Linked DNA regions of Alligator mississippiensis. The main gene of each other region encodes a partner of the protein of the gene in region 2 in a complex. Links are inferred from orthologs where the notes say so. Each region holds a gene or a part of one and is shown on either strand. Other genes may lie near its edges.

The links.
Region 1: the proteins of EIF4A3 (region 2) and CASC3 are in contact, whole or in part, in a crystal structure (PDB 2J0U), measured with the Homo sapiens proteins. The link is inferred for Alligator mississippiensis from reciprocal best matches to the Homo sapiens genes EIF4A3 and CASC3. Residues at the interface, in NP_055555.1 of Homo sapiens: Thr178, Arg179, Lys198, Ile201, Tyr202, Tyr205, Arg206, Tyr207, Leu208, Pro209, Pro210, Thr212, Lys231, Phe232; in NP_031385.2 of Homo sapiens: Arg217, Trp218, Glu219, His220, Asp221, Lys222, Phe223, Glu225.

Annotation. Positions count from the first base shown.
Region 1 is NC_081827.1:164,600,500-164,608,004, forward strand, and holds the start of CASC3 (protein CASC3), read right to left. Parts: upstream 3,001-7,505; 5' UTR 2,977-3,000; coding exon 2,743-2,976; intron 1-2,742. UniProt on the Homo sapiens protein: Required for pre-mRNA splicing as component of the spliceosome. Core component of the splicing-dependent multiprotein exon junction complex (EJC) deposited at splice junctions on mRNAs.
Region 2 is NC_081824.1:234,479,381-234,486,253, reverse strand, and holds the start of EIF4A3 (eukaryotic initiation factor 4A-III), read right to left. Parts: upstream 3,009-6,873; 5' UTR 2,941-3,008; coding exon 2,778-2,940; intron 1,747-2,777; coding exon 1,674-1,746; intron 1-1,673. UniProt on the Homo sapiens protein: ATP-dependent RNA helicase. Involved in pre-mRNA splicing as component of the spliceosome. Core component of the splicing-dependent multiprotein exon junction complex (EJC) deposited at splice junctions on mRNAs.

The DNA of each region.
Region 1 (7,505 bases), on a different chromosome or scaffold from region 2:
TGCTTATTGGACATGATCCTGCAAGACAACTAGGTAAATATCCAGCTAGTGGTAGAGAGAAACTTGTGCTCATGGTACAGGTCAGCACCTTCGAAAAGGGAGGCATAAGAAAGGTATACAGAAAGCTAAATTCAGATCAGTAAGAAAAACACATAAATCTATGACTGTACAGTATTAATCCCCCAAACACTTACAACACTAAGGGAGCTTCAACTCCCCAATACATTAAAAAAAATTCTGTAAAGAGGAGGAATTTGCCTCTACAGACAGAAAGGATGGACTCCCTTAATCAATATAGACCACCTGTTCAGAAAATGATATGGAGGATTATTTAAAAACTGGGAGCTGTGGAAAAGCCAACTGATACAGAGAAGCATGCAGCTGAGAGACACCTCTGCTGCAGAGGTCAATAATAGAAGTGTAACTTTGCATCTAGCACAGGAAGGGACAGAACTGGAGAAATTCAGACCAGAGGCAAAGTGCAGGGAAGAAAGAGTATCAGACTATGGAATTAAATAAAAATAGGTTTGTACTGAAAATAAAAACTGCCTGCATAATGAAGTAAAAACCAGGCACATCAGCAGCCCTGACAACAGAAGAGATACTTGAAACAAGAACTATTAAAATGCGGTGGACTAGCAAAGTGCAGTGGTAGTACAAGGCTCTCAGTTGCACAGGAAGGACAGCTGGCCTGGAGAGGTCGGAGCATAGCACCATCCCAAAGGAGCCCATCACATTCTACTGGAAAAGGGGAAGAGAAGCACAAGCCCCACCCCTACCTATTTTACCACTGGCCTCAGCCAGGAAAAGATACCACAATCACAAATAAGAAACGGCAAGTGTGTCAAAAGCAAAAAGCCAGAAGAACTAGCAGGTCCACTGAAAGCTCAAGAAAGGCAGAAGAGGTGTTTATAGCTAAGCCTCGTGGCCCCTGAAACCTATCAAACAACTTGGGATTCATGGGGCTGACAGGGGCTTTGAAGTCACAAGATTTAATTTCAATGCTATTTTGTTTGGCATTGATTTCTGACCAAATCAATCCCACCAGTCCCAACTGTTTCACAATTTTTAAATCATGAATTAAGGGTTAAGCAATATATTTAGCATCTGATCTATTGTCTTGATGCTCTGATGAAGACTTACTCACTTGCTACAGAATGTTAAAACAGCAGTAACCTAATCAAGCTGAAGTTATTAAATTAGAAGGCCAGCCCCAGGCCACCTCCTGAGCAACTTGCACATACAGATTCTTGTTGCCACAGCAGTAAGGGTGTGACTAAAAAAAGGATCATCTGTAGCTCTACTTTCTAGTTAGCCCAATAATTATTCTGACCATAATCTGCTATAATGGAGATATGCAAAAAGGGTCACTGGGCTCCTGTGACCTGTTAGTTCCTCCCTACCTGTTTAATAACCAGGGTTTAGTCATTTCTTTGGTGCCTGCAGACAGTCTGGAGCATACCACAGCAAATGCTAGACACAAATCTTAAGATAAAAACACTTTGGATTTCCCCTAGAACAAAGCCTTTTACTCTGGGATCCTACAGGACCATCATTCCACCCTAAGTACCTGTGAAGAATTGAGGTGGTATTTTTTCCTGAGGTCACCCGGGGCTAATTGAGTTAATCACCATTCAAGCCATACATCAATTTAATCTGGGACTGATTAGTCTGAGATCTGACTCCCATCAAAAAAGAGGTGGGACAATGATTTAATTTGAATAAACCACACTGTTCTGGGGCAAACTATTAATCTGGATATTTTCCAGGTACATATTCATTCATGGTAATAGAAAAGTAAGGCTGGAAGGGATCGCCAGAGGTCATTTAGTCCAGTGGTTCTCAACCGTCTTTGCACCAGGACTGATTTGTAAACATTGATGGTCAGTCCCAAAACAGTGCCCCTCACTCCGCACCCACTGCCTGCTACCCCCCCCAATGTGTGGGGCATGGGGGACCCCAAGCAGCCCAGACCTCTGCCACCCTGCAAAGGAAAAGCCACTGTTTCCCACGTTTTTCTCCTTTAAAGGAGAGTCCTTTTTTGCAGTTTGTTTGAGAAATGCTGATCTCCTCCCACACCCTGCCTGAGGCAGGATCACCCCTATCCAAACCATCATCTAAACGCTGCATAAGACCCAGGGTGCAACACTAGGAAAAAAAAACACCCTGTGTGAAGGAAGTATCCAACAACCAGCACAGCACTTAACCGAAAGTTACAATCTTTATAAATTCTCAGATGGGTAAATGGAATCTGCACATCGAGTGATAACACCAGACAGCCGCTAATGGATCTGCACATTGATGCCAGACGGAAGAAGAGAAGACACCAACCCAAGGCTTTTAAAGATCTGGGTAGACAAAGCCTTGGCTGGGATGATCTAGGTGGGGCTGGTCCTGCTCTGAGCAGGGGGCTGGACTAGATGTCTCCCAAGGTCCCTTCCAGGAAGAGTTTTCTATGGCTCAATGCCAAGGGGCTCGTCTGCAAAGGGCTGGGGTCTGCTGCAAAATAAACCTGCTCAACTCAAGAGGCATGAAGAAGAACACCTCTTCCCGTGGGACAGTGGGGGCTGATTCGAGCTTGCTGTCGGCTAGCAGGGACGTGCAGGCCTGGTCTGGGCCCCCTGCCTAGGCGGGGTCGGGGCTGGCACCATCTTGACGCCTGCGGCGATGCCGTGCTCGGCTCAGCGCCCCCGACAGCTCCGAGTCCCCCCGCGGTGACCACCCCCCCGCCGCCTCACTCACACACTCGGACTCGGGCGGGCTGTTGGCGGCGCCGGCCGCGCTGTCGGCCCCCCGGGTGCGGGCCGCGGGGGGGCCGGGCCCGGGGCCGGGGCTAGGGCCGGGGGCGGCGCGGTGCAGCGGGCAGGGGGAGGCGGAGCGGGCGGCGCTGCCCGCCGAGTCGGCGCTGTCGGACGCCGCCGAGTCGGAGTCGTCCTCGCTGTCCTGCGAGGCGCGCTGCCGCCGCCTGTCCGCCATCTTGCGGGCAGCCTGCCTGGCGCCGCGGGCGCGCGCGGGGGCAGACGGGTAGGCCCGCGGACTCCCGCTCCCGGCGTGCACCGCGACCACGCCCCCCCCCTCCTGCGCCTGCGCGGGGAAGGGGACGAGGCTTGGAAACTGCAGCTCAACGGCTTCCGGCCTACGCTATCCCAGGGCCCTTTGCGGCCAGACTCTGGTCACCCCCGCAATAGGGAGAAACCGGAAACCCGCCCCGACGTGCCCACGTGGCCTTTTACATCAGGGGCTCAGGAAGAGGCGGGGTATGATGCCATCACACTCCAGCTGAATGACGTCATCAGCCTACTTCGCTGTCCCCGGGAGGACTTGTCTCCTAACAGGGGTCCCTGGTTCTTGGCTCCCGCTCAGCAAACACGGGGGGGGCACCCAGCCACCCCCCCAGTAGTGGCACAGGCACACCCCTGTTCTTGCTGGGAAAAATCTTTCTGGGGGTTCATTCTACCAGAAATATTTCCCATATCAGTTCCTCGGTGACTTTCTAGGTTGTAATTATAATGTATTATTACCGCAAGATTTCAAGGCTGCTCAGTTTGCAGTTAAACAAAAACAAGGGAGATAGAAGCAGCTGTCACAATTACAGAGGTATTTCCCTGTTGAACATCCTCAGAAAAGTCACTGACATTATGGTACCCAAACTGCTGTCTCTAGGTGAAATAATAACCTGAAAGTCAGTGCAGTTTTCACTCCACCATTGATAACAATATTTTCAGTCAAGCAACTGCAGGACACGTGTAGAGAAAAACAACTACCACTGTACATAGCTTTCATCTCCCCAACAAAGGTCTTCGATAACAGTCAACAGACAGGGCCTTTTTACTGTTCTGAAGAAACTAGGTTGTTCCCCTAAGCTGTTGAACATCATTTGTTCTTTACATCAAGGTATGAAGGCAACTGTAGCGTATGAAAACAGAATCACACACCTTTGACGTCAACAACAGGGTGAAATGGCTGTTTTAGCCCCCATGTTCTTTAACATCTACTTTTCATTCCTGTTTCTTCATGCATTCAAGGACAGTGATGATGACATTTATCTTTGAACCAGACTAGAGGCTTGTTCAACATGTAAGGTGTAGAGCAAAAACCAAGGTGAAAGAGCTATTTCTTAAGAGATTTCCTGTTTGTGGATGATGCAGCCTTGGTTGCCTACAGTGAATCTTCCCTGCAAAAATCTCTTGGGCAGATTTTCTGAGTCATGCAGGAGCTTCAGGTTGAGACAATTAGTCTCACAAAACCTATCGTCATGTACCAAAGCCGGGGAAGAATTAATACCTAATATAACTCTGGGGGGTAAATCTCTTGGCGTCATCGACAGCTTTTGTTACTTGGGTTCTACAACCAACAGGAATTTTGACCTTCAGACTGAACAGAATCAGAAAAGCAGCTAAGAATTTTGGCCTATTACAGAAATGTGTGTGGAGTAACAGCAAAATGTCATCTAAGGTGAAGCTGCGAATCTACAAGGCTTGCATACTTGTCATCTCTGCTTTATGGTTCAGAAACAGACTACATATGCTAGGCACATCAAGAGACTGAACAGTTTCCATATGAGATGCTTACATAAGATCCTGAAAATAAAGTGGGAAGACAAAATACCAAACACAGAGGTGCTGGAGTGCATAGGACTGACACACTTAGAAACCACTATCAAGAAGAGAAGGTTGCGATGAGTCAGCCATGTCAGGAGAATGGGAGGAGACTATATCCCCAGGAATATTTTGTACTGTGAGATTCAAGATGGCTCTAGAAAGCAGGGTTGCCCTCTATGGCAGTACCCGGTGTGCAAAAATGCTATGAAGTCATTCAACGTTAATGCAGAAAGCTGGGAGAAGCGTGCAGAATCCTGTCCAATCTCGAGGGAACATCTGGCACTGGGTGCAGCACAACATAAAGTCACTTTGATCCAGAGGATGGAAGCAAAGCAAGAAAGGACGCAGTGTGCTATAAACCTGGACTCTAACTCAGACAACACGTGGATCTGTGAAACTTGTAACAAGCTGTGTTGTTCTCAAATTGGGCACAAGTAGATTCATCACACACCTAACTAGATCTCTTATGCAAACACCATGATCTAGAAGATCAACAGTTGCCTAGAATATTACTACTCATTTTTTTGCTTTCCTGGCCTATAATTTTCAGCCAGAAAAAGAGTACCTGCAGTTCCCACAGACATGGCAACTTTGGGCCAGTAGTGGGGGCCATGGTAGCTATCTTCCTCAGTCTCCAGTAAAGAGAGGCCTGAACAGGTATAGTGAAGCTATAGTTTAGGTGCCAGGGTAACTCCAAACAAGCCACACTGATGACACTGTTCCTGTGACATTATCTTCTGAACACACTTGTTTCCCTCCTCGTAAATCCAGGTAATCCTCCACCTCTTCAACAATAGGTCTTTATCTCTTGCCACATTCAGCATTTAAGTGCAGGAAGAGCAGCCCCTGAACAGCTGTTATCAACCAGCAGCAGCATCTCTCTGCCTTTTCACATGTCCCTTGCTTAAACTGTGTAAAAGAAGAAAAAAGAATGCATGTCATAGGCTTGATAAATTGTATGTGAAACAATATGCTAGGATATGCAGGCATACATTGACAAACCATCTAGATAACAGTGGTTAGAGACAAAGCAGGCCCCAGGAAAGCTTGGAAGTTAAACTGAAATAAAAACAGTTTCAGGAAACATTTTCTGTTTCTTAAATATTTGTTGTCTTTTAAAGAAAACTGGTTGTGGACTGCAGACTAATTTTAGAAATGTTCTTAATTTTTCTCCCTACACAAAAGGCAAGAAAAATAGCAAGCCAAAATAAGGGTTTGAGACAATCTGCCTTTCAACACATGCTAGGTTAAGATACCTTCTCACCCCCAATAGAAAAGTACAGCTGTCTGCCTCATGCATGTTTGCCGCTTTGGGAATAGTGTTACAAGCTTCAGAAATGTCTTTGCTTCTGTAACAAGTCTTGAATTATATACATGAAGAAAAAGGCAATCACCAGATTTATATTTTTTCTATTTTATTGTAAAAAAATTGGTTTCAATTCTTTAAACATACAAGCAGAATTGTTTAATACTCCCCATTAACACTGTTAAATCTAACAAACTGAAGCAGAAATTCAAAAAAAAATTAACAGCCACAATAGTTTTTATTTACAAATTGAACTTTTTATAAGATATTTACAAGACAACCATTTTACACATTAGAAATGGTATCAAAAGTATGCATTACAACAGACAACCATGTGTCAAATGGCCATAAAACAAGGCTGAAGAGTAAAGACAAGCTTTTAATTTTAATTTTTAAAAGGTTTTTAAGTTTTCTGACACTAGTTTAAAACTTGAATTAAAAAAAAAAGCAAGGTTTTAAACCAAAGAATAGTTCTAGGAGGGAAATTGCAGGGCTTTCTGTTGAGGATTGAATTTCACAGTGTTGTACCCCATATTGGGAGAAATAAGACTATCTTTCCACACTAACACTCAACTGCAAGTTTTGTTTTGTACTCCCCCACCCCAAAGCCTACTTCTGGCCCATCCCCACCCCTCCCTTTTGCTGATGAAAAGCCAATATATTAGTAAAAAGGACTGTTACAAAGCCTGGTTGCCTGTCTAAATGGCATGATGATGAAGAGTTTCAAAATGGCTTTGCACTGGGAAGTAAGGCCAGTTCAAGACTAGCAAATCAGAGCTGACTGTCACTGGAATTCAAAAAGGTGTTTTGCCCCCTGAAAAAAGCCACTAAGGCAAAGTATAACCAGAATACAAAACCTGCTCAATGCAGACCTGAAAAATGGACGTCATCAAGGAAAAGGGGGAGGGGGGGGGCAGCACACAGGGCAGGGCAGGGCTCCAGCTAGTATTTGCCTGTTTTACATTTTGGCTCCTAATTGCACAGGAATCCATTGAGGACACATGCTATCATGCTAAAAGCAGGACACTCAAGAACAGCCTTATTAAAAGGAAAAAAAAAAGGATGCAGTGTATAGCCCTATTTATGCAACCTCTGTAGCACCAGAGCCCATACCTCACAAGAGATTTTCCCCTCTAAAGGTGTTTTAGCCTCTCTTCCAGACTCCATGACTGCCTCAACTTCAGTATAAAAACGCAACTGTGTTAAGTTACAGATTCAGCCTCTCTTCCACATTGCATAATGATACCCCAGATATGGGGGGTTGGGGGAGGTGGGGGGAAGAAAAAAAGCAATGCCTTTTGTGTTTCTCTATTGTTTATCAAGTTGTTTGTGCCAAGCAGGAAAAAGAAGATCACTGTCTTTACACAACACTCAAAAGGAATCATTCAAGTGGGTCAACTTCTGTGGCCTGCTAACATCTTCAATACAAAGTTAACATTTTCACCCTTATACTAAAACTCCTCCCTGGACCCTTCCCCCAGCCACACGCCCTGCAGAGGTACCACTGCAACTCTCAATCAGACAGGTAAGTGCAGCAAAAGAGTAGGGGGAACATGGTCTTTCAAATCCAAAGAATCCGTTGCTCACTCACCCCATCT
Region 2 (6,873 bases):
AAACTCCTATAGACAAAAACAAGCAGATTTTTTAAAAAGCTGTTGAGTGTTCAATCCATCAATCTATGGGATAGTTTGGATAGAGATAATCCTGCCTCAGGCACGGAGTTGGACTAGATGACCTCTGGAGGTCCCATCCAGCCCTACTTCTCCATGAATGACTCATTATCAAGGAGAGAAGAACAAGCTTTTTCTCCTCATGTAGTTCAACTTAAAGCCACCAGATATGCCTGGTTGACAAAAAAGATCAACTGCAAAGCCCATCTCAGCTGCTTGTCAGCTACAGTTGAAAACAGGGTGGGGAGCTTATCAAAATAAGGATTTAATATTGTGGATGCAACTGCACTTACTTTCCCCAATGCTTGCATTTATAACAAGTTTCAGGAGTTAACATGTGGATGAGTTCTCACACTTACAGTGCATTTAACTATTGTGCCATATTCCTTACAACACCGTGGTGAAGCATCCTATATATCTTCTTGCTGACTGCTTGTGTACACTACCAAAAATGTATTAACTATAACAGTGATCACCAAACAGTCAATTGCAATCAACTGGTTGGTCTGGAAGTCCCTGACAGTTGATCTCAGTCTGGGGGGAAGAGGGGGTGGCTGCTAGCCCACCCAGACTAAGATCAACTGTCAGAGGCTCCGCAATAAGGAGGAGCGGGACACACGTGGGGAGCAGCAGGATGCATGTGGCTGGGCTGAGCCATGCCCCGTCATTGGGGCCAGGCTGGATGAGTGACACAATCCTCCTCCGCACCCCCTGCCACCTGGTGACAGAAGCCCCGGCTGTACTGGGGGAGGGTCAGAGCCCAGGGTGGCTCATCCAGGCGCACGGGGGGTCTCCCTCTGCTGCATGCACCCCATGGAGGCCCGGAGAGCATGTGCTCCCACGATCTGTGTGCAGGGTGAGGCAGCAGCCGCTGCATGCTAGGCTTTGTGCCCCGAGCCCTGCTGCAGCTTGGGGCACAAAGCCCAGTGTGCAGCAGCAGCCACCTCGCCCTGTGCACAGATCGGGGGGGGGCACATACCCCCGGGCCTCCATAGGGGCGAGTGCAACAGCACACCCCCACTATGTGCCTGGACAAGCCACCCATGCTCCAACCCTTCCCCAGCCCAGCCGAAACCCCACTCCCTCCTGCCCCACTCCCTCCCTCCCTCACCGTGGGGACCTCGATCTGCCTCCCCCTACCCCCCTTCCTCCTACAGACTGACCTGCTGGGTGGGAGGATGGTGGGAGTGGGGCACAATAGATCCTGGACTGCCCTTTACTTCAAAGAGTGATCTTCACCTTAAAAAGGCTGTAGATCACTGAACTACAATGTTAAAATAGGCAACTCTGAGTTCTAAAAAACATATCCATAACTGTTATATTATTCCTTGGTTATACTTTAATACTTATATTAAAAAAAATAAACAACTGATTCTTTCCTGTGTGGAGCACCTTTATAAAGATATGTGAGGGGCAAGGATTTTGTGTAGGTGATATCTTATTGGCCCATCTGCATGGTTGGAATACATTTAGACAAGCTTTTGAATACAAGACACTTCTCATCAGAATTTGCCGCCTGCATAATTCCTGGATCATCACGGGTACATCATTCTACCACTTTATAAAGACAAACATGTTATATTATTTTCTTCCTTCAATCACATAATTTCACTTACTGTGCAATCACATCTCTTCCTTTAATGATCTGTTTGATTGCTCTCTGTTGGATCGCCGATGGCTTCTCAAAACCTGCAACATTTGAAATAATATAAGACACCTTTTTAAATGCCTGCTCACAGGTGCACAGAAGTAGCGCTTCAAATAATTTGAAAGCTGATGTGTGAAGCCAAGTGTAAGAAGTGGGTTTTCAGAAGCACGTAGGGCAGCAGTTCCCAAACTGTGGTTCGTGACCCCAAATGCGGTCGCAACATCAGCAAATGGGGTCGCAATAAACAGGGATCTGGGTTGGGAGTGGGGGGCCATGCTGAGGAAATGGAGTCATAAGTGGGGTCATGCTGAGAAAAAGTTTGGGAAGCACTGACGTAGGGACTGTTCCATTAACTTGATGGTTTTCAGCCAGTTTGGTTAGGTCAGTACAAAGGTGCCTGGACACTTGTACATAGGGGCACCTGCCCCACTTCAGCACAGCTGACTTCTGCAGATGTAACAAGCTGCAGCAATATTAGCCTAGTTTAAAGTGATACAAAAGTGCACAGGATAGCAGTGCACTGCAATCATTTAGCTGCTATGTCCAGAGAAACCCTAGAATTGCAACTTGCATTGTCTCTCAGCAAACTGTGTCCACATTCTTCTCTCTTCTTGGATAGCTCCCCCACATTGGGCTCTCTAGAAAGAACAAACTTGACACCATGTTGTTTGATGTCTTCCTACACCTCCCGTTGGAGGCCCCTGTGGTTCAGTAATAGACTCCTTATCACCCATACAGGAGACCTGGGTTCAAATCCCAGATGCTTACACAAATACAGTCACAGAGGCACCAAGCGCCTAAACCCAGTCTGACCTTTGGATTCTGTCTCAGTGCCCTAAAGGGGGGGATGCAAGGTCTGACCAGCCCAAATCTCCTCTGGGCGACCTCTCGTGCATACACCATAACCCGAGAGGATCAAGGGTTGTCAAACATCGCTAGGGCCAGGGGTAGGACGGCTCCCCGGCAGGGCGGAAGCGGGGCGCGCGCGGGCCCGGGAAGCTCCGCGCGTGCGCACACGGCCCGGCACGCGCTGCCCTCTGCTCCCCCTCCCCGGCTTGCCCCAGCCGCGCACCATAGGCGTAGATGCCGCGCAGCAGGTCCTCGCGCAGCCCCATGGTGTCGAAGGTCGGCGTGACGTCCACCTCCTCGCTGGTCTCGAACTCCACCTTGGTCATGTCTTCCTCCTTCATCAGCCGCTTGCGGGCCGAGCCCGCCGAGCCCGCCGCCCCCGACATAGTCGCCACTCCGACAGCGGCCTCCGCGCTCCGACCGGGAACTGGGCGCCTCACGTGCGTGCGTGCGTGCGTAGCAACGTCAAGCCGCACGGAGCGTACGCCCTTCCCTGCCTCCCAGCGCTGGCGCATGCGCGCATACTCTCCGTTCTTGCCAGCAGTTCTGAGCAGCTCCTCAGACGCAGGCGCGGACCTCACTGCCGCAAGGGGCCGGTGTCCTGCTTGGAGCGTGGTGGCTTGCCGTGCGGGCAGCCAGCCAGGGGAGGGGGCTCCTGTGTGGCTTTGTTACCCAATGAACTGGGGGAAAAACATTTATTATTATTAAAAACAAATTTTATTGTTCGTTAGTTGGCCTGATAAATTCATATTTATTCATTAGTTGGTCTAATAAAAAATATCGTGTTTACCCAAAGAACCTCGTCTCCCATTATTCCCCAATCACAAAGGGCATTTTACACATCCAAACACCGCAGCACTGGGCACTTTGAAAAGCGCCCAGCACTGCAACACTTGAGGTTGTATAAGTGGCAAAATGAGCGTGAGCGCTGAGAAAAGGGCAGTGGCGCACTAAACGCATTGGAGGTGCTTTCGTTCAAAAGTTCTCCGTTGCCATTTTCTGTGCACTGATGCACATTTTACCACTTGTACAGCTGCACAGGGTGCAGCGCGGTTTGCTTCAGCTCGCCTGTAGAGCAGACTCTGAAGCAGTGGATCTCCAGCTGGTCATGGGACAGAAAAATATGTGTATAAACAGTGGCGCAAATGGGTGCACATGCACCCCTCACACAGCCAGCATTCCCCACTTAGGTCGCTGACTGGCCACTGGGGGGAGGGGGGGGCAAGTGCCCGCCCAACTCAGGAGGCACCAGTCGCCCATGTGTATTTATGCCCAAAGGTTCATGCCCTGCAAGATGCTCTGTAGCCTGATAGAATGAGCACTTACACACGTGCAAGGAGCCTGCTCCGATGCACTGGAAATCCAGCACGCCAGCATAGATTCAATTAATCAACTCTGCTGGATCAAATTTATGTAAATTGACATGCTCTGGCAGCCTTGCGTGTCACATGCAACGTGCCTCTGCGCTGAGAAAATGGTGGCGGTACGCTTTGAATTAAAACACGTTCAATGTGCTTTAGTTCAAAGTGCACTGCTGCTATTTTCTCAGTGCAGAGGCACGCTGCACTGCTGATACATGTGCTCCTGACGTGGCACCAGGTGCTTTTAATTAGCACGGCTCACTAATTAAAAGCGCCCAGCGCCAGGGTGGAAACGCATGTAAAAATGCTCAATAGTTCTGGCATTATGCATGTGGGATATGCTGGTTTCCTCTGAGTGTTGGTAGCACCTGGTGGGTTCCACAAGAAGAGAGGCAAGTGCCCCACAGAGTCCTGGCCTGGGGGATTCTCAGGGTGCATGCACAGATGCTTGAAATGATGGAAGAAACTTCCCAGCAAATAAAAGACCAAAGGCCTAGACACAAGTACAATTGGGAAAAGGAGCAGACAGTGTTCCTAGACCAGCATGCTTGAAAAATTCAGAAGTGGGGCACAAAGATTGTCCTTTAGGGCAGTGTTTCTCAACCCATGGGTCGCAACCCAAAAGTGGATCAAAAGAATATTTGAAAGGGTTGCGAACAAACTTTAAAAATGGGTTCTCCTTTAAAAGAGAAAAACATAGGAAACTGTGCCTTTTCCCTTGCAGGCTGGCAGAGCTCCAGCCTGCAACAGGCTGTTTGGGGCTCCCCATGCTCCATAGACACCCCTTGCCCCACACACTGGGGGGCAGGGGGAAGTGGGTCAGGAGTGAAGGGCACTGGGCAGAGACTGGCCATTGATGTTTACAAATGGGTCCTGGTACAAAAAAGGTTGAGAACCACTGCTTTAGGGTCCTTTGAATCCAAACCTGCTCTTCTCTGGCAGAGACACAGTCCAAGGACTTTTGCCTGACATGCCTGGTCTTGCTGCTTTAGAAACTATTCTTTTGGGGGGGTTCTCATTTTTGGAAGCCATACGGGGAGCCCTATCAGTCTATTTCTCTTTTGCCAGCATCATCAGATGACTCCAAGAGCTGGGTACCAGCCCCAGGCTTGCTTGGTTCATGATTTATTCCTGCCCTGCCTTTAGGTATCTCTGAGTGGGGACCAAGCCTGAAGAGCCCAGGGACACAGGTGGGATCATATTGTGAACCTGAACATAATATCCTGACTGCCAGCAGATTCTCCTTTTGGTATGCCAAATAGGCTGAGCTTTTTATTGGTAGAACAATGTACCTGCCATTTTTAGTTTCAACATCACAGGCCTTGACACATGATGACTATTATATCTTCCTCAGTTTCTGGCTAGTCTCAAAGGAAAGAGCTGTCCATGTCTCCAGGAGTCTTTCCTTTGACTTTGGTGTGTACTGGATCGGGCCCAAATTGTGAAGGACCAGAAAAGGTACTCAGTGGGCACATCTACACCTACATGTGCACTTTAATGTGCATTAGCCTATTTTAATGCACATAAAGCATCACATAAAAACTGTGGTCACCTTTACATGTGCTCTGGTGGGGGAGATGGCACTTTAATTAGAGCAGCTCCAATAGCTACTGTGTCTTCTGTATCGCATCCCTGTGCTTAAAAACAGTGTCAAGGGGGCTTGAACTAAAGCTTGTTCCAACACCATTTTTAAGCATCAGGACACTGATACATGAGATGCAGGAGGCTGCTGGAGTGCAGGGCTGGACACAGGCATGGACATGGGCGACTGGTGCCTCCTAAGTCTGGGGGAGCACCTGCAGAAGCTGGCAGCGGTGGTGATGGTGGGGACGGAGCTGGCGAGCATCTGCAGGAGCCGGCATCAGCATCGGGGATGGAGCTGGTGAGCACCCGCAGAAGCTGCCAGTGGCATCAGTGGCAGGGACAAAGCTGGCAAGCACCCACAGAAGTCACCGGCAGTGTCAGCAGCAGGGACATGTGCTCCCCTGTGCTTGCCCTACTAGTTGCCTATGGGCTCGGGCAAAATGGGTGGCCGCCTGGGGCCTGGACAGAAAGGGGGCCTGAAAACAGTAATTTTTTAATTATTATTGCAAAGGGGGAAAGTTCGTCCAGAGCTGCCAGGAGTCTAGGTACAGTGCTGCTGAAGTGTAGCAGTTGCCATGCTCCAGCAACAGGCCCTGCCCAGACTCGATTCATCAAGTCTGTTCTGAGGTGCTGGAATTCCACTGCATTGAAGCAGCCTCTGTATAGGCGCCCTGTGCTTTTTATTTCCTGTGCATTCAAATAAGCTAATGTGCATTAAGCCTTGCTTAAGAAGTGGCACCTTGATGCACATCAAGCCAGACTAACGTGCATTTGGGGACATGCACCAAGGCTGACCTGATGTGCTGTAAATCCTAGTTTACAGGTTGCGGACCCTCCGGGACAAAGTGGGTTCTTTGTTTCTTATCTTCAGATTGGGGTGGGATGCTTTTCTGGAAGACAAACCCAAGTTATTGGGCTTCACACAGGTGAAATCCTTTGTTGAATGGAATTCAGGTCATGCCTTTCACCTGAGGCGTGCTTCCAGGGATCTCATAAATGGTTAGCCTGTTCTTGGGCCCTCTCTGGTCTCACAACCCCAGCAGCTCCTATTCCCACCTCTGTTTACAATCCATGGATTACTGGGAATAAAGAATCATGGGGACAAAGCCAGAGAGGCAGGAGGAGGTAACTCCACAGCCTCATACCTTCCTGTAGGAACAGTGCTTCCCTCCACTGCATGGCAGACCAGTGCCCCAACAGGGGATGAGCTCAGGCTTACAATAGCCATGAAACTCCCCATTCTCCGATGGCCTCCAGTCGATGGAGATCAGATGTAAGAGTCAATAAAGATGCAGGAGAAAGAAGGAAACAACACGTTAGCCGTGGGACAGCGGACACACCTGTTGTGTTTGCATCTCTCATTTGGCTGGACAA